Nothobranchius furzeri: one gene and its partners. The protein of the gene in region 2 interacts with the protein of the main gene of each other region in a biochemical or structural test. Links are inferred from orthologs where the notes say so. Each region holds a gene or a part of one and is shown on either strand. Other genes may lie near its edges.

Region 1 (6,470 bases), on a different chromosome or scaffold from region 2:
GCTGGGGCAGACCTTCATCCATCTGAACAGGCTGGTCCCAGGTCAGCACTGGGTGGACTGGCACCAGCTGGGTGGGGCTGGCTCAGACTCGGCCCACTGACACAGTGGAAACAAAGGAAAGTCCTTTCAAAGTAAAAGCTGTGAAGGCTTAACCTCCCTTAGATTGTGTATGAGTGGGGTTAGCACCAGGTGAGAATTCTTCAGGTGATTGTTTGTAGTTTGCAGGATTAAAATTGTTTTTAAAGGGAGTTTCCCATCACTGTTGGATAGAAGAGGCAAATCTGAGATGATTTTCCTGGACATTAGGTAAAAACTGAACTAGCAGACTAATTTCAACTGGAGTCTCACCTGTGACCTGAAAGGACAGGTGAGGAGCTCAGAGGATTCATCTTTATCTGATTTAAAGCTGAAGCTGTGGTGAGTTGTTCTGTGTATCACAAGGAAGCAGAAATCAGCTGAGTGGAAACTTTGTCTGACTAACGCAAGTCCCATCGACCCGGAAGCCGATCTCGGATCAGAGACTAAAAAACAAACATTTCACCGAAGAGATGGGAAACAAAGGGATGAAAAGACAACTTCGCTGGAGGTTTCTGGATGAAACAAGCTGCTGAACTGTTGATTAAACAAAATCTTATCTCCTGAAAATAAATCAAGGCTGAGCTCAGAGATGAAGCAGCTGGAGCAGGTCAGGGGTCAAAGATCAGGGGTCAGGTGATGTTCTGCTGCTGCATTTCTGAGTCATGTGTTTTTTTGTTTTGTTTGTTGAATTCCTTTGGTTTCTATGCACTGTAGACCAGATGAGAGCAGCAGAACTCAAACGGGTCATCCAGCTGCAGTTGGAGCAAAGTGGATCAGAACCATATCAGAACTCTATAGGCTGAACTCGGACCTAGGTCCTGCTCAGTGGTCCGTGAGAGGTCACTGGTTTTGGACAAATGGAGCTGCATTCCTCTTTTGGATGTGACCGATACCGAGCTCTGTCATCACGGTAACAGATGATGGAGACCTACGCTCATCGGTCTCTGAGGACTGGCTGCTGTAGGTTGTGGACTGTGATTGGTTCACTGATCCAGAGACAGAAAATCAGCTGACCAGATGGAATGCAGATGTGTTGAGTGAAGCTCCGTCCACCAGCTGACCCAGACAGGTGAGTGGTTTGAGTCGTTAAGCTGACTGAACTTTGTGAAAATGAAAATGTGACGAGTTTGGAAACTTTTTTTATTATTTGCACTAAACAATAAACTTTAATTGAAAACTTCTGTTTGTGTTTTTGTTCAGATTCAGGTGGGGCCGTGCGCCAGTGACTCAAATAATTATGGGATCTGTGAAATGATGCAGTTTAATTCTAAATAATACGGTGAAGGTGCTACAAAGTCCTAAAACGTTCCAGATAGGTCTGAGGGGCATTGTGAGAGAATATGGTGATAAAATGCTTTAAAAAGAAAAATATTGTCATGACATCATTTTTAACCTTTCAAAGAAAATTCACAAAAATACTTGAAATGTTAAGTTTTAATCCTTGAATTAAATAGAGAAAAATTATTTTATTTTTTACCTTTGTGATTTTGTTCTTGTATTCTAGTTTAAAAACCTGTTTTTCCTAATTAATGGGATTTGGTTGCAACAACAAAAAACTTTCATTTTCTTGTTCACTTTGTATTTATGGTTTGTGGTATTATTGTTGCTTTGAAAAAATAAACATGGGCTTACACACACACACACAATTCCCATCTCACCCTCCGCGGGTGGTCTCATCCAAGCTTGGGTCCTCTACCAGAGGCCTGGGAGCTTGAGGGTTCTGCAGTATCTTAGCTGTTCCTAGAGCTGCACTTTTCTGGACTGAGATGGTTTTCCTGGGATTCCTCCAGTCTGGGGGTTACTGCCCTGATGCCCATGAGCACCACCGATGTCTTCATTCTCCAGGCTTTCTCAAGTTCTTCTTTGAGGCCCAGGTAGTTTCTCATGCTCCTTTTTCCTGAGGTTACATCACTTTGTATCGCTATATCAACCACAACAGCTGTCCTCTGTTGTTTGTCCTCCAACACAATGTCCGGATGGTTCTCCATCACCATTTTATCAGTTTGGATCTGGAAGTCCCACAAGAGCTTGGCTCTTGTTCTCAACCACCTTAGGGGGTGTTACCCACTTTGACCTTGGGGCTTCCAGTCCATGCTCTGCACAGACGTTCCTGTACACTATGCCAGCAGCTTGGTTGTGGCGTTCCTTGTATGCTTTCCTTCCCAGCATCTTACACCCTGCAGTTATGTGGTGGATTGTCTCAGGGTTCTACACCTTGGGTCTTGTCTGGTGTGGTAGATGTTCAGGGCCTGTTCCTGTGCAGCCATGATGAGTGCCTCTGTGCTATTCTTCAGACCAGCTCTTTCTAGTTCTTGGTAGGATTTCTTGATATCAGCCACTTCATTATATATATATATATATATATATATATATATATATATATATATATATATATATATATATATATATATATATATATATATATATATATATATATATATTCCCCTCTGACCCTCTGCAGGTGTACTCATCCTCCCAAGCTCCAATTTTTGTGATCCATCATTTAACTTGATTTAGGCTCTTGACTCTTCTAGGAGATTTTATACATCCCTGTAGGAGGAGGGGTAAACAAAAATGTGTTTAATAACTTAGATTTTAAGTTCATTTATTTAAAAAACGCGTTTAAAATAACAAATTGAACCAATGACTTCCGCTGTGTGAACGCCTAGATGGTGGGGGCGGGTTCTGGCTGATTCTACTGGCCAATTACAGTGTAGCTTTTTAATCACCATCTTCTCATTGGTTCGATGAGGGTAGTTCATTTTTTGAAAGTCAGACACTGATTGGCTGTTTGTGAGGAAACGTCGTTTTAAACTGGGGGCGGCAGAAGAATCGGTTTGAATCTAGAGAATCCAGCCTTCCACCACGAACTGAACACCGGTGAGTGTTTAAATCAGCTATAGTATGGCTATAAATGTAATCATGTGTTAGCATGAAGACAAAGAGCCAGTGGTTCTGACCGGTACCACGAGGCACGGCTCAGCGTTTTCTCTGAAATCTCCGGGAGTTAGCATGTAGCTGCTGTTAGCTACAGAAGCTACGGCCCGCTCGGTTGGATTTGATCGGCTCGGTTCGGCCTGCCTCCCCTGCTCAGTCCGTCTGATGTTATATCTGTGTCCTCGGCAGGAGTCGGACTAGCAGCATTCATGGCCTCCCAGAATATGGACCCCGCCGCGGCTGCAGCTTCCTCCACGGCCGCTCTGAAAGGCAGCGAAAGCAGTGGCAACGCGACCAGAGGCTCGGTGACCAAACGGTGAGTTCCGGGCCGTTACAGAACCGGAACCTTACAGGTGTAAAGAATGGGTCGTTTACATCTTACTTCTGAACCATAAAATGTGAGATTCCATAGAAATATGAAATATCAATCTGATGGATCTTTGTTCAGAAGATCGGAACTTTTTATTGCAGGGATTAAGCAACACTTTGTACTAACTCCAAGGAAAGAGAGAGAGTCAGGTTTAAAATAGTTAAAGAAATGTACTTCTACACAATTTAAACAAGAATAACTTAAACACTGTGTACTGATGGAACTAAGGTGGTGTGTGTGTGTGTGTGTGTGTGTGTGTGTGTGTGTGTGATGTTGTTCAGAACCAGCGGCTCCGTAGAAGCAGTTAATTCTGAGTGGGAGTGAATGTTTTGCTCTAAACTTTAGTTGGAGATATATAACACACATGAAACGCCATCTGTCGGTCTACGTTTCTGCTGGACTTGGTTCTTCTTTGGACAATAAAATATCAATAACCCAGTGAGTTCTCCAGCAATGTGAGCCTGCAGCTGCATAACTAGAGATGTGCCAGGATAATCTAAACTAACCTAGAGTCTACGCAAAGGTGCTTCTGCTTGATGTGGTGGAAACATGAAGCTGGTTCCACCAGAGGAGCCTGAGAACTGGAAGTTCTGCCTCCTTACTACTTTTAGGACCGCTGGAAAGTTGAAGCCACAAGTAAAAAGCAGCCTGAGAGCCAAGTGTTCTGCTGGGAACATCTGGAACAAGAGCATCATTAATCGAAAAAGCGTGATCCTTCAGATTTGGAAATAAAATTGAAACTCAATTCTGGATATTTTAGCTAATGAAGTGATCCTAAAACTGAAGAAATCTGATCTCTCCTGGTTTTATTCATCACAAAAATGAATTTTATGAAACAGGAAAGTTTGAGTTGTTAACTGATCAGGTGCTTGAATTTTTTTTATTTGTGAAACAAATTGTTCTGTTATTGATCTTATTACTGCAGCTTATTTCTGGACCTGTGTTGCACTTGTTTAATTCGTATGTGTGTGTGTGTGTGTGTGTGTAGGTTGCAGCAGGAGCTGATGACTCTCATGGTAAGTTCACATCTATAGTTTTATTTTGGTTTCAATAACAAAATGAAAGATGGACGATCCTAACGGGTCACAGGACAGTTGTTAGTCAGAATGTTAACGAACCTGATGACCTGCACAAGTTCATCCTCATTGGGTGGTGGTGTTTACTCATTGATTGATGCACCCATAGTCACACGATCTCCTGCCTCAACACTAATGCAGAGTTGGTGCTGGTTAGGATGAGTGTTTAGCTTGAAGTGCACAGGTGGCGTTAGTCATCTGCAGGTCAGCTGCTCCGTTCTCATCCAGACACTTATCAATGATTTGTTTGTTTCTGTGATTGATTTCTCTGGTCTGATCATTCACACAGGAGCATCAATACCAACATACCTGACATTAGTAAAATCAACAAAACCTGATATTTCTGAGGTCATGTGACCTGTGCGTTCCTCCCTCCTGTAGATGTCGGGTGATAAGGGCATCTCTGCTTTTCCAGAATCGGATAATCTCTTCAAATGGGTCGGAACCATCGATGGAGCCCAAGGAACAGTATGACCACATAAATACAGCACGATCTAAAACTTGACCCCTCCACTTGCTGCTCTGATTCACCCGACACTCTTACCTGTGTGCCCAGGTGTACGAAGGCCTCCGGTACCGTCTGTCTCTGGAGTTTCCAGCTGGGTATCCGTACCATGCTCCTCGGGTAAAGTTCGTCACTCCGTGTTTCCATCCCAATGTGGACGATCAGGGCTTCATCTGTCTCGACATCCTGAAGGACAAGTGGTCGGCACTGTACGATGTTCGTTCTATCCTGCTGTCCATCCAGAGTCTACTGGGAGGTAACCGGAACCACCAGTTTGCTGTCTGCTAAAACCTGATGGATCCATCAGAGCCATCTTTGCACAGCTCAGAGAGCAGCACACAATTCCTTCTGTATTCCCCAGAACCAAACAACGAGAGTCCTCTGAACACGACCGCAGCAGAACTGTGGAGCAACCAAGGTGGTAAGTACACCCACAACCTTTCAGGCAGCCAGCAGAACCCAGAGAACGGCCAGCTACTAATACAATCGGTGTTTGGGTACTTTTGAGCAGTTCTCTTTTGTGACTTTGCTGGTGAAGGTTCTGTCATCCAGGTCATGGTAACCCAAAAGGATTCAAATGAAAGTGACTGGACTTCTTTGGTTTGAAGACGTTTCGCTTCTCATCCGAGGAGCTTTGTCAGTTCTAACTGGAAATGGGAGAGTCAAGCTTATAAGCTGTAGCTGCCTATTGTCTATAGAGGCCAACGACTCAGTGGGTAGAGAGGAGGGGTACTCAGAGTAGTTTCGGCTCGTTAAATAACAGATTCCAGTCAGAATTGACAAAGCTCCTCAAAGGAGAAGCAAAACGTCTTCAAGAAGCCAGAGAAGTCCAGTTGCCTTCATTTGAAACCTTTTTGGACTCCTTTTGTGACTTTATTCCTTTTCATTTTAAACATCTGCTGGGTTCAACCTCCTCTGCAGCCAATCAGACAGCTGTCCTTTTAAACTGAGCTGAGCCTGTTTTCTCCTGGAGTGAACTAAATGACCTGCAGATGATACAGATGTAGAACTGACCTCAGACCAGTTTGTGAGCTCTGTACATGCAGCAAACGATTTTGGGAGCTGTAGTTCTGACTGTTTTTTTTCTCTCTCTAGCCTTCAAAGCTCACCTGCACGCTACCTTCCAGAAGTGAAGCAGTCCCAGCTTTTCTTCTTCCGTCTGTTTTGTTTGTATAATATTTTTATGTTTGTTTACATTGTTGTGTCAATAAAGTTCTTAATTCAACACTCTTTCATAAAATAATTTCCTATCTTTACAGTCAATAATACTGACAGCATCACAGTAATGAATGAATCAACATAAATGTTTATTCTGGAAATGTTTTATTTCAGATCTTAAAAACACCACATGATTCTACTTGTTGAATTTAATGATTTATTATCAGTATATTCACATAATATTACTATATTGATAATGACTGTATAACAGATTTACTTCATGTTAAGTGTAATGAGCCTCTAAGTGTTGCAGGAACGAAGTGGTGTCTGAAGACGTTCTACATAC
Region 2 (5,389 bases):
TAAGGTCAAGGTTAAGTTTTCTAAAGAGATTTTGTGTTTTGGATATTCCTTTGTTAGTCCAACTTTTCCTGCCATTATTCTAGGTAAAAAAAAAAAATCACCATTATCTCAAATTTGTTAAATGATGTTATCTTGTACTAATGGCACATATGTTTACTGAATTCTTCCGCTTCATGGTGATGTGATTTACTATAACATTAACATAATGGATTTAAATTGTATTGGTTTCTTTGTCTACATTTACCACATCTCATCTTTATAGTCCAATCTTTCAAGTCTTCAATTTCAAATAAATAAAAATGTGGTCTCATAGAAAACAAATTTTTGGCTGGATTTAGCTGGAGTTTGACATATATTTGTATTTTAGCTGCAAACTTGGACAAGACTCTCTCCAATTCAGACAACCAGAGTGAAGTTAATGACTCAACCTTCCATCCTGCTGGGCCACCAGAGTCACCAATCAATGCTAATCCTGCAGAATCAAATGGTAAACATTGATCTTTGAAAGTAATAAATGCTTGTGTATGTATTTGGCTTATGTTAGATAATTTCTCATTTGCTGTTTTCAGACATCTTCCAGTGTGATGCACAGAATCCTGCGCAGACATCAGAACGGTGTTCTGTTCCAGTAGGACCTGGTGGTGTGCTTCTCATTTTGTAAAGGCTCTTTAAATTTAATTGAATTTTGCAGTCAGTCACTTGCAGATTCTGAATGCCATGAATGTTAAAGGTTGAGAGATATAAGCAACTGACTCAGACTTATTTAATTGACTTCCCACCAGACATTTCCCAGTCAAGAGCAGAGGGTCCTGTGATATTCTTCTGGTGTTTTTTCCACACACAAACATATTTTAACCTGATATTTGTGGCTTTGTAAAATAAATTGAATGCTAAAATTTCTCAAATGCTGTGTGTGGTTGTATTTTGTCAATGTACAGTAAAAATTGATGTACAATTGCATTGATGTTTTTCAACATGGTGTTGGGGTAAACTGTATCTACCATACAAAACTGGGAATAGTATGCAAGTATGTTGGACTGTACGTGGCCCCTCTATAAATATTGTGGCCCCTTGATGGCCCCACCCTCAGAAAAATCCTAGATCCGCCACTGGTTTTGTGGGTTTTTAGGGCTTTCTAATCCTTAGAAAGGGGCTACTCGCAGTTTCCTGGTTCCATTGAGAGAGGGGCAGGAGTCAAATAGTTGTCTCCACCCACCTCTAAACGTTTAACCCCGCCCACATTTAGCCCCGCCCCGATCTCCGGGATGCAGCCAGGGGCTACTCGACGGCTCCATAGACTGTACATATACGGACGGCTCCCGTGGAAACCCGGGGTCACCCTTTCAGAAACCTCAAGTTGATAAACAGCGCCCTCTGCTGTCCAAATGTATTAGCACGCTAACTCAATTAGCATTAGCGCTAGCATCACTTCCATTTTGTTTAGCTTTGCAAAGCTAACAGTGGGCAGAGATGGGCGACGGTGACGAGCCGGGCTTAGTCCTTTCTCACAGCACCTCTTCGAGCTCCAAGTCGGGTGGCGACAAGATGTTTTCCCTGAAGAAGTGGAATGCGGTGGCTATGTGGAGCTGGGACGTTGAGTGCGACACTTGTGCCATTTGTCGGGTTCAAGTGATGGGTGAGTATGAGGACAACAGGTGAAGCTAATCTGGCTATACAACTAAAAGCCTGTAACGGGGTTTTCTTGTTTTGCAGACGCATGTCTCCGATGTCAGGCGGAAAATAAACAAGAGGACTGTGTTGGTAAGACACGTCATGTGTTTATTGTTTAGGGCGAAACACAAACAGTTAACAAGTCACCCAACTAGCGTTAGCTAAATAATATATCTGAAACCAAACAAACCTGCCTGCTAAAGCAGTGAGGTATGGCTATATGGTCTGACCATATACATGCTAAAATGTTTGAATGCACGTTTTTAAAATCCATTTTAAAATGACATGTTTATGTGAGGTGCAGGACCAAAGCAGAACATGTACACGTTTATATGGGAGCTACAGCATTATTAACTATATTAAAACATTTGTATGTTGTTGCAGAATCTTATTAATACTACAAGCACTTCACTGCAGCGTGCAGACACACCTATTTCTAACATCAGACTAATGGAACACACATTACTGCTGCACAAACATGATCATCTGCCACTTTCACTGAGAAAGATGTCCAAGAGAGGCTGTTTATAAAAAAAGCTTTAGGTGTCCCATGTTTAGCATAAATACAAATGCCCTTTGTAGAACATAACGCTGTTTTAGTCACTTGTGTGTTTTCTTTCTCTCAGTTGTGTGGGGAGAGTGCAACCATTCCTTTCATAACTGCTGCATGTCGCTTTGGGTGAAGCAGAACAACCGCTGTCCGCTCTGTCAGCAGGACTGGGTGGTTCAGAGAATCGGCAAATGAGCTTCACATCTATGTGGACTGTACATTTGTGCACCCAAAGGTGGTGAGAGGAAATTATCAATGATCCCAGCTACGTCCTGTGCTGTCCTCTTCCTTCTGGTTGCATGTTTCCTGGTGTCAAAGGAGGAAAACGGACATGGTTAAAGTTGCACAGATTGGTCGCTGAAGGGATCTGGAGCCGAGAAGAGACAAGTGAAATGTATTTAAGTGTCACCTGTTAGCTTTGTGTAGTTTTTGGCACATCTTAAATGTGTGGTTTCTTTATAAAAAATAAATGGTTTGTGAAATAGATGTGACTATGTATTGGTGTTGGAAATGATGATGCATGTAGTACTACTATACTTGTACTTTAAGTGGGTCTGCAGGGATAGGTGAGATCATCACCAGTGATGACATGGAGCACCAAAAATTAAGCCCTAAATCTACATTTTCTTACATTAAGTCTTACATTTATTCAGATCTGTAAAACACACCCAAATGTTTATTTCAACATCAAAGATGATCTGAGTTAAATACAAATAACTGTTTTAAAATGACGCTTAATTTTATGATGGAAATTTTCATGATGTATGAGTAACCAGATGTTCTTAAATAACATTTTTTAAATACAAAAATGCTGTATAGCGCATAAGCGGCAAATAACATTGGTGCAAGTGCATAACCTTGTTACCATGACTACCATGAATCTGTGGTCGCATGTACAACCACCTTGAGGTTAACCTCGTCAAGATACAAAATTACAGGAAATAATTTAAACAATGTCAGATTTTCCATCAAACCTATTGTTCCTTGAAAAAATATGTTAGGGGGCTGAAATTATTTTAATATTAAAGGTGCAGTATGTAAGAATATAGTAAGACCTAAAGAGTCTAATGTTTCAGTCTTTTTGGAAGGAAGATTATACTGAAACATATTTCGTATCCAGCTGGCTGTGGGAATTGTCAGTTTTTCTTCTTCCAAAACAAAGGAAGGAAGGACATACCTACTGTTTAAGAATAAGTGAGTGTGGGATTGTGTCTCTTGCGAGCTAATACTGCAGCGCCCACAATTGTAGTTTGACGACTGCTGGCAAAAAGCTCCAGAGTTGTTTAATGTGGTTGCAGTAACCAAATTTAACCACAGGAAGTAATTTTTACTTCATTTAAACATAATGCACCTTTAAGTATTTTCCCTGGTGATAGAGGGCAGTACATACCTAACATCAAATAGTTATTTAAAGGCACAACACTGGGTTCATGTTTACATCTACCAGCCAATAAAGGGCACCATTACTGGTTGCCAAACAGCTGGCACTGTGGAAAATGGCAGACTCCCCATGTCAAGCAGCTGCTTCTGAGCTTAGAAGATGTAGATAATAGGCTAACGTTGAATACAGTTGTAAAATAAAATTATTAGTAGAAATTAGTCCTTGTTCTTTTTGTCCTCTTGGGAAATTTACAGGGAACACTATTACCAGGGTAACATGAGGCTAATGACTGGACGGCTGCTTCAACCTTCTGTAACTTGAAGGGCAAATAAACAAAAATCATTTTAAATTGAAAACAGGATTTTTCTTTACTAGCAGAAGAAGTTAGATCCAAATTAACCAACGACCGTTATAGCTGGTTAGAAAAGATCATAGCTAGATAAGCCTGTGGCTTGATGCATCTCCATAGGCTTTCAGCCATTTTTAAACACACACACACACACACTTTAGAAGAAATGTACTTACAAAAATTAAACAATAATGAACAAGAGTCTGCTTCTAGACCTGCAGAAAGAGAGAAGGAAAAAAAAACAAAAAAATAAAAATGGGACAACAATACAACAAGATCCAGTTATCACTGCGTCAACTTGATGAAGAAATGAATATTCATCATTGTTTAACTGAACAATCACACGATAATAAATCACAGTGCATTAAGTGCCCACCATGGCCTTAAGACATGTGTTGAACGTGCCCAAGTCCATACTTATGAGAGCACCAGGTGAGCACCTGTGTGTGTACACGCACTTGTTTATGTAAGGTTTCTCTATAGGAGCATCCAATAGAGAGTGTGAGGGGCCACAGATCTGCCCCCTAAATATATGCAGGAGACAGAGGGAGCTCCAAGTCCCAGAGATCCAGGAGCTGCCCCAGAGCACAGGAACTCCAGGGAGGCTGCGACCAGAAAAGCCCCCGCTCCCCTCGAGAGACGCAGAGGATCGCCCCGGGGGGCCACAACCAGCAGCCGGCAGAGTCCCGGGAGGTATCGGCGGCAAGCCCACAGGCCCGCCCGCAGCCTTCCACCCCCTAGCCAGCCGAGCCCGGGACCCAGGGGCGACCACCCCCGCCGGGGACCCAGGGACCCAGACCCCACCAGGCAGCCACTGGGATTGGTCAGGCAGATGCCAAAAATCTTAAACCCCCTGACCCAGGAGCCACGACCCAGGCAGACCAAGGCACCATACTCCACACCAAGTGTGGCAGGGAGAGGGGAGACGAAGATCTATATAATCAAAAGAAGTCCCAGGAGAAGGGAGGAGTCAAAGGCCCCACCTGACATATACAGTCATACACAAACACAGTCACACACTCCCTCCCTCATGCTCACACATACACATACAACCAAATACGTACAAAAATGCACGCCGGACACCCACTCATGCTCCCCATACACACCCTATTCACTCTGGTCCCGGTACTGCTGCACATGGGGTACAACCATTACCGGTTCCAAGAGATCGACCCTTTCTGCTGGGGTGCTGATGAGCAGGCTCCCCCGCCTAATGCTGAGCACAGCAACCCACCACCCCAGACCCCAACCGGACGGCCAGATCTCCCTCCTAGCCTCCAGCCCCAGGAAGCCAATATGGTGTTAGTGAGTGTTGATGAGGTGTATTCCATGGCCTATGCCACCACACCACCCCACTTGCACCCACAGCCCTCAGTTTAAAATTGGAAGTGGGCACCGGCACCTGGGATGAGGCTGAGAAAAACCCCTGCCAAATGCT
Region 3 (6,448 bases), on a different chromosome or scaffold from region 2:
AATTCCGCTCCGTTCGCCTAAAGGAGGAGGTGGAGTTGGGTAAAAGGAAGCCGTGGGAATGGAAATGTAAGGAACACTTACTAGGAAGATTGGCTTCAAGTTCTGCAACTTCTGTTGAGACAAAAACAGAAAAATGAGTCAGAATAAAGCAGAAAAGCAGGTAAACACTGAGAAGGTGTTGTTTAGAACGGCGGGTCGCGAACCGTGTCTGATGTTTGCGGTCAGCGTGAAACAGGAAACGGCGTGGTGAGACGAGGGTTTTGGTTTCTGAAGTATTCTGAATCCTATTGTTTCTAAACCGCTTCGACTCGGAGAGATTTCTCCGTTAGAAGCCCGGTTCCACTGGGTGGTTTGGGGATTGTTCCGGCTCGATTAGAAATGTCTGTTCCTGTTCGTATAAATGCAACAACGCAGCCAATTAGAAGCGGGGAAACCTCGGTGGAGTTTTTATGGGTTTTTATTCACCTGCACAATAAATTCTGTAGGAAGCTTCAGCTAATTAGCAACTTCCAATCAGAGAAGACTGAGACAAACCATCAGCTAACAGAATGAACTGAATAGCACGAAGGCCGGAGTGAGAAAAAAGTCTTAATGGGTGCGAGCACAAAGAAACTAATGATTGTACTTTCCTTCGTCAGACAAAGACACAAGAAGCTTGTCTCTGATTGGCTAACAGCAACACGACTACCACTGACTGTCTGCTCTGCAACGCTGATGATTTATCTCCACCAATAACACAAGCCTGGAGGAGTTCTGCTGTGTGGTGGAGTTGCTAATGCTAACGGTTAGCTTCTACTAACCGAGACGTTCTCTGCTGTTTCCTGGACTAAACCAACAACAGCCTTCCCCGTCGTGAGTCCAGATGGGTGAGTCCATGAATGTTAGTGACAGTGTGACGTAAATCTGTCAGGATTTTCTAGAGTTTCACCATCTGTTTTCTATCAGAAGCTAATGCAGGAGGTAGGTGTAGGAGACTATTTTCATGTTCAGCCTGCATGAAAAACTCATTACTATTAGAATCAGAGACAATCATTAGTAATGGTTCAGTGTTCCACGCCTACAAATCCTTCAGAGTGGAACGAGACGATAAGGAGATACTGGTACCTTTGGTCAGGAGGCGGTCCCTGATGGAGACCCTGTGGGTGGAGTCTGAGGCTCCAGAGGCACGGCTTGCTTTCCCTCCATCCTCCTTCTTCAACTTGCTAGCCAATGTAAGCATGGCTACGCTGCTGAGACACGCCTCTCTCTGCCCCGAGCCTCACCGCCTGTCCAACGTCTGCCAGTGACACAGATCCACATCTTCATTTTATCAGAATAGATAAACAAACAAACAGAGAAACAACAAAGTGTCTGTTTGTATGTGAGAAAGTTGGTTTGAATGTTCCGCTCAGAGCCGGCCGGGAGGGAACAGAGGTGTGAGAAAACGCTGAATAAGAGCCGCTTCGCTTTGAAACTAATCTGCTGAAAGTTTCCACCAAGAGGAGTGATTGTGTCTGTGACTCATCGTGTTGGTCACCAGCATCAAAGAGCACCTGGAGTGGGAATAAATGCATAAACTCAGATTACACTAAACAGGTGGAGCGGCTCGGTCTAATGCAGAATCAGACGTTTCCTGTTCAACGGTGTCATGTTTTCTATTTGATGTTTAAACAAGAAAAACTGAAAACACTTCAGAAGGAAAAACAATGCAGTGATTATTTTGGACATTTTTCTCTCTGAGTCTCTAAAGTGTTACCAGCTGGTTTTCAACTTTTTAGTCCAAACCACCAAAACAGTCCTTGGGTGTGACTCAGCGACACGCTGCTGTGACGTTTTAAACCGAACTGTAATCCTGTTGAAGTCAGACAGGGTTTCTGACACCACAACATGATGACTTCAGCAAACAAAGATGAACTTTATGTTTCACTTATGATGCCATAGCAAAGTCAAGCCCCCTGAGCCTCATCAGGAAAGGTCACGGCTAGTCTCTGGATGTAAACAAACAAATGGGTCCATTTGTGCTTTCAGATGAGTGGAAAACAAAACTAAAATGTTTGGGACAATTTGAGCCAAAGCAAGAAAAGTTGGAGCCAAGTTTGCTTTAGGCCCAAATATCATTTATAATCTTTATATTATAACTGATGTCCTGACTCCACCTGTATTAGTGCAACAAACCCAGGTAAAAAGAGGTTTCCTGTAACGTCTCCACTCTGTAAAACCCAGTTTGTGCACTGGGTGAGCTCACTCAGAGGGGGAGTGATGGTGTCGTGTGTCGCCGAGCCCGACTCGACACACACCTGCCCCAGCTGTCAGTCACCTCATATGTCTGTACGGCAACATCATCACAGCAGAGCTCACAAAGTCAGCGGCAAAACAAACGCAACAACACTTTAATCGCCGCACTACGGTAGTGCTTGTACACCAAACTTTTAACAAGGTCTTGTACAATAGATGTTTTGTTTTTAGAAAACCTGAAAGACTCTTTAGGCTTTCCCTTAAACCTACCCAACAATCTTTTCTTTGTATCATTTCAAGCCACTTTCACCTGTACGTTTAATAAAAGTGATGAAGTAAGAAAGATGCATCTGTTTGTTAACCTATCAATCACAGACCTCGTTATAAATGGTCTCAAGATATTGTCGCCCAGAGGTCAATCAAAGGGAAAAGAAAGACAGGCAGCCCTAATCAGATAATACCTAAAAGAGTCTTAACATTCAACGAAGTGTCATGCAGTTCTAGTTTTATGCTTCAATAAATAAATACATATATATACACACACACTCAATTTAGAGCTTGAGTCTGAGCATAACATCAGCGGGGAGTACTCATTATTTATGAAAATAAATTGTTTTGTCAAAGAAAAAGTCTGAAGACTAATTTTCTAAAGTATAAGGTGAACTTCTCTGTCTATTTTGCTCTGGATGCTTGATCATTAGTATACTAATTTATTTCCATAAAAACTGATCATAAAGCTAAAAATAGTGCATGCCATTTGTTTTGTCCTTATTTTTCAGGCCTGTTTGTGGTCAGACGTCTGACCTGCTACAGCTTTAACAGTGAGTCTAGCCTATTAATCACAAATTAATGCTCACTTCCCTCATTTCGTCTCATCTAGGTGGCCTGCCTTTCACACACGAATCCAGTCAACGTGACAACAGAGGAATCCTAACAAACAACCCAAGTCTTCTTAAAGGCGCTGAAACCAGCTGATTTAGAGCGACAACTTAAGATTTCACCTTCTTCCTCCTCCTCTTTGGTCGGGTTACCATAACAACACCTCGCTAATGTTGCTAATAAAAGCTACGTAGACGTTTCCAGACAGATCGCTCAACACCAGGTTTCTGCTCACAAGCACAAATGACACGGCTCCTTTCTGACGGCTGAACTTTTCACACCAGGAGCCGCTTGTGTGTTCTTTGTGTGTTACCTTCTGTCTCCCAGCTAGCTCTTCGTGCTAAACCATAATCAGCGGCTCTGCGAGCTCAAGCTGCCGCCAGCAGCACCACACCTGGCGGGTAGCAGACGCGTCCTCCTCTCAAAGGATCCAAAACTAGTTATTACCGATTCTACAACAGACTGGGAACTGATTTGGGAATCAGCTGACAGAAACTTCGCTCCGGTGGCAAACGGAAGCGCAATGGAGCAGTGCCCTGTTATTTGCTTCCGTGTGGACACACGGTAATGATAAATAGTTCCGCGCTGCTTGGTGGACGGTTATAAACATTTTAATAACCGTTAATATTATAATTATCATTAGTATTATTGTTATTGTTACTATTACTAATACTACTTATAATAATAATAATAATTTTTATTTTATTATTATTTTTATAATGATGATGAAGATAATAATAATTGTTATTGTTAGTAGTAGTAGTAGTAGTAGTAGTAGTAGTAGTAGTAGTAGTAGTAGTAGTATTTGTAATGATGTGGTTGGAGGAAAATGTCCACCTTTACAAATAATTATGAACCTGTAAAGATTTAATATTTCATTGTGATTATTGACCCAGTGAGAGTTGGACTCTGCCAGTTCATCCAGTTAAAATCCTTTACCTCAGAACCCTCCCCAGTCAAGTCAGGTGTGCCCCAGGGCTCTGTCCTGGGGCCCCTCCTCTTCATAGTATATCTCCTCCCTATCGGCAAAATCTTCCGCAAATTCAATATCCAGTTTCACTGCTTTGCAGATGACACCCAGCTCTACATTTCCAGTAAGCCCAACTCAACTCTCCCTCCATCCTCCCTTACACTCTGCCTCTCTGAAATCAAATCATGGTTCACCTCTAATTTCCTCAAACTCAACGGCAATAAAACTGAACTTCTTCTTGTTGGCACTAACTCCACCCCCTCAACATCTGACAGCTTTTCTTTAACTATTGACAGCGCCACAGTCTCCCCCTCACCTCACGTCAAGAGTCTGGGTGTCATTCTCGACAGCTCACTTTCTTTTCAGGCTCACATTAATAACATAATTCGGTCAGCATACTTCCATCTACGTTCCATAAACCGTCTCCGTCCCTCACTGACCCCTCACACTGCCGCCATTCTCGTCCACAGCCTCGTCACCTCCCGTATCGACTATTGCAATTCACTTCTTTATGGTCTTCCCAACAAACTCCTTCATAAACTTCAACTGGTCCAGAATTCAGCAGCCCGTATTATCACCAGAACCCCTTCCTTTCACCACATCACGCCGGTTCTCCAGCAGCTTCACTGGCTCCCAGTTAAATTCAGGTCCATCTTCAAAATTCTCCTCCATACCTTCAAAGCAATCCACAACCTCTCTCCTCCATATATCTCAGACCTTATAAGTATTCACACCCCGTCCCGTTCACTCAGGTCTTCTTCTTCCATCCATCTTGTGGTTCCTTCTGCCCGTCTCGCTACCATGGGGAGCAGAGCTTTCAGCCGCTCTGCTCCTCGACTCTGGAACTCACTTCCCCCAGACATCAGGAACGTCGACAGTTTTACCCTTTTCAAAACAAAACTCAAAACACACATGTTTAAATCTGCCTACAACCTCTGATTTTATTGAAATGTTTCTCTCTGTTTTTTTCTTCTTTGGGTTTTATTATTGTTTTATTGTATTTTATTACATGTTTTGTGTAAAGTGACCTTGGGTGTCCTGAAAGGCGCTTTTAAATAAAATGTATTATTATTATTATTATTATAAGGCTGCCCTTTGTCACCGATTCTGTTCATAACCTTTATGGACAGGATTTCTAGATGTAGCCAAGGTGAGGAGGGCATCCGTTTTGGTGGCCTGAGGATCAGGTCTGTTTTTTGCAGATGATGTGAGAGAGAGGATTATAAGACACCTTTCGTCAAACATTTTGACAGGTCTATTGTTCTTTGACCTTTCATTCCTATTGTTCATTTGACCCTTGACCTTGCCCCCCCTTCCTATCATTAATCAAATGGACAGGTGTATTGTTCAATCTTTGCCCCCCCTTCCGTATCATTAATCAAATGGACATGTGTATTGTTGATCGTCCAGATGGTTTAGACCCCCCACGCCGCATCATCAATGGCGTATTGTTGAACGTGTCCAGATGGTCTAGACCCCCCACGCCGCATCATCAATGGCGTATTGTTGAGCGTCCATGATATCCCACGTCATAGGCTAATGTGTGTAATGGTGTGTGGTTTCTTTTTTGTGATAGCCCATCGGTTCCCACAGCCCCTCCCTTCTGAGTGTAATCCTATTGTGTTTAACTCTTTAAAAGCTCAGATCTGTCCGAATGGTGAAAAGCCGAGCTCTAAGAAAAAAATGGCTCACTGACAGTGGATGAGTGCGGCCTAACTGTTGTGAATGACAGCCCCACACACTGTCAAGTACCTATGAAATGGTTGTACGTTTCCTCAAAGTTAAAGAATCTGTTTTTGTAGTAGCAGACAAGATGGTATGGTCTGCTAGCTCTTGAGTGAGTGGCAGAAGCTGAAGTCAATGCATGAACTTTTGCAGCCTTTTGCTGAACACACACAAACTCTTCAGAGTGACACATTTGTCTATGTCATTAATACTCTCTTTGAGATGTTCACGTTGGATTTCGTATGTTCAGTCTTAAATTTTGTGTTTAAATGTGTTATTTACATGCAGCTCACTGACACTTTTTGACCAGAACTAAAACTATTGTGTAAAACTCTCTGTCCAGCAGCACATCAAATTAATGGCTGTAAGCACACACACACACACACACACACACACACACACACACACACACACACACACACACACACACACACACACACACACACACACACACACACACACACACACACACACACACACACACACACACTTCTCTAAGAAGTAAAAGGATTACATTCAAACATTTCTATCACTTCACAAAAGCAATGGTTTACCATCCTAAACCATTTATGGTCCTGTTGTAAACCACCATGCATTCTCAAGCCTATAAGAACAAAAGTTGATCCTTACCTCAGCGTGAATGAAATGGCTGTACGTTTC
Region 4 (6,327 bases), on a different chromosome or scaffold from region 2:
ACAAGACTACCTATTCCAGTGCATGCCGAACATCTAACAAAGAAAAACTAAAATCATAGGGCCTGCAAGAAAGCAAAAAGAGAAACATCTGGCAAAGCGTATTAAAATTTAATTTACACTCTGCTTTAGTTCTTCGGGTCCATCAGGCGGCTCAGAGAGCAACGCTGAGGAGAAATACAATTCTAATCAATAATTAGTTCTGCCCCTCTAACCTTCAACAACTTGATTATTACACAACTTTAATAACAAGTTCATTCAAAAAAACACAACCCCACACTGAGTGACAGAAAAACACATCCAAGATAAAAACCCAGCAGAGATCAATTTCATGTTTTAGTAAGAATGTTCATATGAGGAGCTGACTCAGCAGACTCCAGCAGACGGGACGGCCCTCCATTGCCACGAGTCTCTCATGACGTTGGGAAACAGTCCACCAATTTAAAAAATAAAAATAAAAAGACAAAAAGCTTTCAAAGAAGTTCTGGCATGCATGAGAACTTTGAACATACTGTCCATGAAAACTCCTCCATGTCCTGCCAATCAAAGACAGAAACTGTAAAATATGGGACACTTGCAGTCCTTTGTCCATCTTGAAGTCTGTAAAAGTTTCCACCACGAGGCGGACAACCAGTGAGACACCCCCAGTTACAATTAGAGAAATACAGCTATGCAAAACAGGTGAAGTGATGGTTTAAGAGTTTGCACCAGTTCAGTGATCATGAAACCCAACCAAAAATATTTCATACTAAAACCAGGACTGGATTTTGTGAGCAAAGTAAGCTTCAGTGTGATGAAAAGTTCTCGAAGTTGGAAAAAAAAATTGGTGGCTGTGCTGGTGCAAAAGTGACCACAGTCTGACCCTCTCGCAACGAGGCATCAGTTTTAACCTCTGAGGCTGAAGGAAAAAAGCTCTTGTACTGATTTAGAAGGAAGCTTCCAATCTCTCTTGGTTGCAAACCAAGAATATCTGGCAACCCAGGAAGAGTTAAAGGATGAGCATTCGTCAGCTAGGTTGGGTTTTCTGACAACAAGAATGTCACGACTCCTCATTGCCCGAGTCATCCTCGTCATAGCAACAGTCGCCGTCTCCCCCCTCCACGTCATCGTCTTCATAGTAATAGTCATAGAAGAGGTCAGAGCCTTCGTCTGGCGGCGGGGCGCGTGTACGAACGCAGTATTCAGCTAGCGTGGTGGGCACCTTCACGCCATCTCGCTCTGCTTCTGCCTTTGTGGCCAGCACCTGTTTCCTGAAGGGATTTGTTTTATGAAGACTGAATTACTTTTGTGTGGATGGTGTGGCTTTGAAAATCTTTTAGAAATATTTGAGGTTTGTCTTAAATAACATTACACTAATGTTTACCTGATGATCTCTACATATTCCCGGTCCTTGCCTTTGCTGTCTCTCCATTTCCGGTACATGACAGAGGCGTCCACGTTGGCAGGGGAGAAGGTGTTGGGTTCATTTAGCAGCGAGATCACGCTCAGCAAAATGGTCCTAGAAGCAAAAAACAAAGGCAACTTAGTATAGAACCATAAGAAAACGACTTTAGGTGAATTAAAAAGTTTTAAACACATAAAAAATATTTTAATGTCACAAGCCTAAATTACTTATTTCATCTACTATTTTATTAGAATAAACAATGAAGCACATATTACATTAGGAACTTAAAGCTAATTGATAAAACATGTATTAAAAAAACCTGTCAGACCCATGTGCTACCACCCTACCAGAATCAGAATCAGAATAGGTTTATTGCCATTTTCAGTGAACAAACAATTCACAAACTAGGAACTTGCTTCGGCACTAATGTGCTACATATAACATGAATAATAAGATTAAAAATAGAATAAAATAGAATAAAATATAATAATTAAAAAAACTAGAATAAAACTTTCAGCTAAAATGGCAGGTAATGGTAACATGGCCGATAACGTGACGTTGTGTCGAGTACAGAAGACCAGCATGGTTGTGTGTTTATAATCTATTCACAAGTCTAACGGCAGATGGAAAGAAGCTGTTCTTATGGCAGGAGGTTCTGGTCCGGATGGACCGTAACCTCCTGCCTGAGGGAAGCGGCTCAAAAAGTCTGTGACCCGGGTGCGAAGGGTCAGCTGTTATCCGGCCTGCACGCCCCCGAGTTCTGGAGACGTACAGGTCCTGGAGAGATGGAGGGCTGCAGCCAATCACCTTCTCAGCAGAGCGCACAATGCGCACTGACAAGCCTTTACATTACATTTATAAAACGTAGCATTGTGAGTAAGGTTTTAGTGAGTCGTTATGGGAAACAGAAAGAAGCTGCTTCTGTTTGTGGCCAAAGGAACAGCCTTTGTGACAGACTTCCTGATCTACAGATCTAATGTGTCTGCAGCAAAAATGCAAATGAGGAAATTAGGTTAGGTTAACGGTATACCACCTGCAACAACAAAAACATAAGAGCTGCACTGCATCAAGTGACCGAAACCACCAGAGCTTACATCTTTGTAACACTGCTGAAGTTGTGTGATTTCGACTACTACAGATCACAGGTTTAATATCACTTGTGAGTGTGACATCGTTGTGGTGGCTTTTACATAGATAGTTTCTTGTTGAATAGAAATCTGGCTCTCAGTTACAGAAAAAGATCAAAGATACATTTTTTTGTGCACAGATTGCATAATGTGAGCCTGACAAATAACCTCAGAAGGAAGTTTATAATAAATAAAGATGCATTTTCTCCCTCTTCTGCAGCAAAATGCTGTCAAACTCATGCGATACACTTATTGTGAGTCACAATGAATTAAGGTACTCAAAGTATGTTTTTCATAGAAATAAACCAACAAAATCTTAGTTTGCATAGTATGATATTATCCAAAGATCAATTTAATTTTGTTTGTAAATAAGAGGAAGATGCAGATCTAGCTTTACTGCTGGCTGCTGCAGCCGGTGAAGAAGATGCTGCTGATAATGAATGTCATAAGATAAGAGTCTGCGCTGGGTGAACCATTGAAGTGATTGCAAAGTGGACAAAGATGGAAGGAGACCAGAAAGGAGAAACGTATAGAGAGAATATGATTAGAAAGAGAAATGCTAACCGAACATTCTGGGTTGGATTCCATCTCTCTGATGGGAGCTCTCCGCTCTGCGGGTCATCCACTGGAGGGTGCAGTATAGAAATACACACATCTCCATTCTACAAGAGGGGAAACAAATACATTCCATCATCAGATGCATTCATTCAAATTAAATACACTGTTATGAGTACACACACGTCAATATTTAACCTCATAGATGTTGGGATGCCACATTTTGGTTAGGAAGCGGAAAGCAGGAGGGGAGTAAGGATAATCTGTAGGAAACTTGATCCTTGCCTAGGGGGGAAAATGGGGACATCTTGTTATTTTTTAAACTACGGTCATTTCTTATATGTCATCTGATTTTAATTACAACCTTACCTTGAAATATCCCCCTTCATAATGAGTGTTTGGTGGACCAAAAATGGCGACTTCCCAGTTGTATAAATCAGCCTCGTCCACCAGAGTGATTTTAAATCCCTCCACAGGCTCTTCCTGGAGGCTCTTCATTTCCAACATGAGAGCTTTCTGCGAACTAGCTACATGAGAAGGGTCGTGTTGCGCCATAATGATTTATGAAGCTTTCAGGATTATCTGGAGGCGACAGCTTTTGTTTACACGGCTAAGCTAGCCAAGCCAGCAAACAGCACAACTTCTCCTTTTTCGATGTTCGGAGGCAAAGAAAACAGGCCGACCGCGCGTAAAAGCAAAACAAAGACTGCGGTTGGTCTGTTCCCAAATTAAACGTTATTAATGTCAAAACTCAGTAATGTTATAAACGAGAAACACATTGTGTCTGAGAGGCTCAACAGCTTTGGCTGATTTACCTGGCAGAGCAGCAGCTGATATAAGCCTTAAATCTACTGTTAGCTAAGGAAAGCTAACAAGCTCCGTCTAATTGACCAGCTGGAGCGACGTAATTACCGCAAAAACACAAAATAACTACATAAAATGGCAATTTGAAAAGACAAACGCAAAAAGTCATGTGACACTACGCCAAACTATACCTCCAGTAACCATAATTGTTTAGCCCTCATAGAAAGCTGCGAAAGGAAATGTGTTGCTGAAAGAGTCCCCTGGTAAAAACAGGTAATGGCGCCCTGTTGTTGGCTGGGACTGGTAGTCTTTCATTCCGCGTTTGTTAGATTAAAAAAACGTGAAACCAAAATAACTGAAAACCCTGGTATAATATAATTCCTGTTCTTTTTATTTATGATGTTTTTATTTTTATTTTAAATGCCCAAAAAGAAAAATAAGTTTGTTTGTGCTTGCATTTTCCTGTTAAACTGTTTAAATACGGTAGCGGTTACTATGGACGAAATATCTATGACATCAATAATAGTATTTTATCACCGACATAACTAAATTGTAAGAAAAACAATCCTGCGTTCATTTGTGGCTAATTTGTAGTTTATTAAGTGGCTGTGACGTTTTAATCTGCGCCAGTGCTCAGGAAAGCCCATTTAGGCTAGCTTTTCTTTGCCTTACTAAATACATTTGGATTTTTTATAAAAGAAATCTGACACGTAATTTTTTCTGTCATAGCACACGTTAGAGTATGCGAACATTAAACATAGACATATGTTTTTATTAGTGCGATTGTAAACGTTATTATAATCAACAGTGTTTCGTCAATGCCTCCTATTTACGCGACAGACTGCATTTAGGGCCCCGAAAAGAAGAAAGTTCGTGATGGGTTCGAAAACACGGCGTAGGTCTCGTTCCAGGTCCATAAGTCGGGGCAGAGATCACCGAAACAAGTCCAGAGTAAACAGGTCGCGATCTCCAGATGAGAGGAGAGGTCGCAACAGGTCTCCGAGCCCGAAAAGGACCACACTGGGTCGAGGCAGATCCAGCAGCGAGGCTTCGAGCGATGGCTCTCGGGCCCGACCTCAACATAGGGGCCGATCAGGGTCCAGGAGTGAATCGGAGGGGGACAGATGTCGAAGAGCGCCGCGCCACAGCAGCAAATCAAAGGATCGTGCATCGAGGTAATTTTAACACAATATGTTACAGTACGATAAAAGGTTGTGTCTGTTAGTTAAGCTTCACTCGTCCAACTTGAGATTCACACATTAACTTGTTTTTGACTCACGCAGCGCAAAAAATGAAGAAAGTCGCCACAGTCAAAATATATTTTTGTTTGTGATCTATTATTCAGAATAGAGAGTCGCTTGAGATTGGCAGATTTTCATCATCTTTCCTCCAATAAGTCATATTTATAGGTGGTGGGTGGGTGTAACCCACAGGTGGTTATTGCGACAGGTGTTTTTAAACACTATATTTACAGTAAATGTCTGCATGTAACTGTTTAGAAGCAGGTTGAAACGAATTTTACTTTGATTAATTATAAAAACCGTTGTAATCCAATAGATCATTAAACACTCCTAGATTATATATAGAATAGGTGTTAAACACTGTAAAAGGCTTATAAAATGATCTCTTGATACTAGTCATAATTTATGCGTTTATATTCATTTAATTTTCACACTAAATTCTATTTTTGTCTCAGTCCTGATTCAGATAATTCCAAGATGAGAAGGAGAAGGAAAGAGATGGAGAAACGCAGCAGTAGATCCCACGAGAGAAGAAGGGGAAGGTCCCAGTCTGCCTCTGATTCAAGTGATGCAAGCAGAGAAAGAGAAAGGAGGAGGAGAAGAAACAGTCCAGTCAGAGACAGACAGATGAGGGAGCGGTGGAGAAGCAACAGCAGAGACAGAGAAAGGACAAAAGACAGGGACGAAAGCTGGACGAGAAGGAAGAGCAAGGAGAGGGAAAGGGGGAGGAGTAAGAGGAGCAGAGATAGGGCTGATGGGAACAGAGGGAGGCAAAGCCCCAGTTCTTCCGAGTCATCTGAGAGTTCAGGGTCAGATTGCGAGAGCCGAGCAATCAAAGAGAAAACTGAGAGGAAGAACAAGAGGGAGATGATGAAAGCACTGGAGACGCCAGAGGAGAAGAGAGCCAGAAGGTTGGCGAAGAAAGAAGCTAAGGAGAAAAAAAGGAGAGAAAAGATGGGGTGGAGTGAGGAATACATGGGGTACACCAACGCAGACAATCCTTTTGGTGACAATAACCTATTAGGAACCTTTAAATGGCAGAAGGTGGGTTCCTTTCCCAGATCTGTGGCTGATTGTTTTTAAGTCTTGAAAGGACTTTCATCAGGATACTTTGTTCTCAGGCGCTGGATAAGAAGGGTATCGGCCATCTTGGTGAAAAAGATCTTAAAGAAAGGAACAAATGTATTCAGGAGGAGAACCGCAGAGAGCTGCAGAAGGT

Evidence for each region.
Region 1: the proteins of rnf7 (region 2) and ube2c form a complex in vitro, tested with the Homo sapiens proteins (4 studies listed by BioGRID). The link is inferred for Nothobranchius furzeri from reciprocal best matches to the Homo sapiens genes RNF7 and UBE2C.
Region 3: the proteins of rnf7 (region 2) and ube2f form a complex in vitro, tested with the Homo sapiens proteins (10 studies listed by BioGRID, with this or other methods). The link is inferred for Nothobranchius furzeri from reciprocal best matches to the Homo sapiens genes RNF7 and UBE2F.
Region 4: the proteins of rnf7 (region 2) and cdc34b form a complex in vitro, tested with the Homo sapiens proteins (5 studies listed by BioGRID). The link is inferred for Nothobranchius furzeri from reciprocal best matches to the Homo sapiens genes RNF7 and CDC34.

The regions. Positions count from the first base shown.
Region 1 is NC_091743.1:77,061,587-77,068,056, reverse strand, and holds ube2c (ubiquitin-conjugating enzyme E2 C), read left to right. Parts: upstream 1-2,852; 5' UTR 2,853-2,958; intron 2,959-3,204; 5' UTR 3,205-3,224; coding exon 3,225-3,331; intron 3,332-4,373; coding exon 4,374-4,401; intron 4,402-4,842; coding exon 4,843-4,929; intron 4,930-5,017; coding exon 5,018-5,222; intron 5,223-5,327; coding exon 5,328-5,387; intron 5,388-6,061; coding exon 6,062-6,099; 3' UTR 6,100-6,191; downstream 6,192-6,470. Other genes in the region: pik3c2b (phosphatidylinositol 4-phosphate 3-kinase C2 domain-containing subunit beta), read left to right, coding at 1-100. UniProt on the Homo sapiens protein: Accepts ubiquitin from the E1 complex and catalyzes its covalent attachment to other proteins. In vitro catalyzes 'Lys-11'- and 'Lys-48'-linked polyubiquitination.
Region 2 is NC_091753.1:33,214,055-33,219,443, forward strand, and holds rnf7 (RING-box protein 2), read left to right. Parts: upstream 1-1,244; 5' UTR 1,245-1,470; coding exon 1,471-1,636; intron 1,637-1,713; coding exon 1,714-1,761; intron 1,762-2,297; coding exon 2,298-2,416; 3' UTR 2,417-2,705; downstream 2,706-5,389. UniProt on the Homo sapiens protein: Catalytic component of multiple cullin-5-RING E3 ubiquitin-protein ligase complexes (ECS complexes), which mediate the ubiquitination and subsequent proteasomal degradation of target proteins.
Region 3 is NC_091754.1:2,838,896-2,845,343, reverse strand, and holds the start of ube2f (NEDD8-conjugating enzyme UBE2F), read right to left. Parts: upstream 3,619-6,448; 5' UTR 3,407-3,618; intron 1,300-3,406; exon of another isoform or gene 1,277-1,299; 5' UTR 1,220-1,276; coding exon 1,105-1,219; intron 112-1,104; coding exon 82-111; intron 1-81. UniProt on the Homo sapiens protein: Accepts the ubiquitin-like protein NEDD8 from the UBA3-NAE1 E1 complex and catalyzes its covalent attachment to other proteins. Together with the E3 ubiquitin ligase RNF7/RBX2, specifically neddylates cullin-5 (CUL5).
Region 4 is NC_091751.1:57,907,128-57,913,454, reverse strand, and holds the start of cdc34b (cell division cycle 34 homolog (S. cerevisiae) b), read right to left. Parts: upstream 3,619-6,327; coding exon 3,433-3,618; intron 3,349-3,432; coding exon 3,262-3,348; intron 3,171-3,261; coding exon 3,073-3,170; intron 1,496-3,072; coding exon 1,361-1,495; intron 1,248-1,360; coding exon 1,037-1,247; 3' UTR 1-1,036. Other genes in the region: splicing factor Cactin, read left to right, coding at 4,744-5,042, 5,564-6,152, 6,230-6,325. UniProt on the Homo sapiens protein: E2 ubiquitin-conjugating enzyme that accepts ubiquitin from an E1 ubiquitin-activating protein, and catalyzes its covalent attachment to other proteins by an E3 ubiquitin-protein ligase complex. In vitro catalyzes 'Lys-48'-linked polyubiquitination.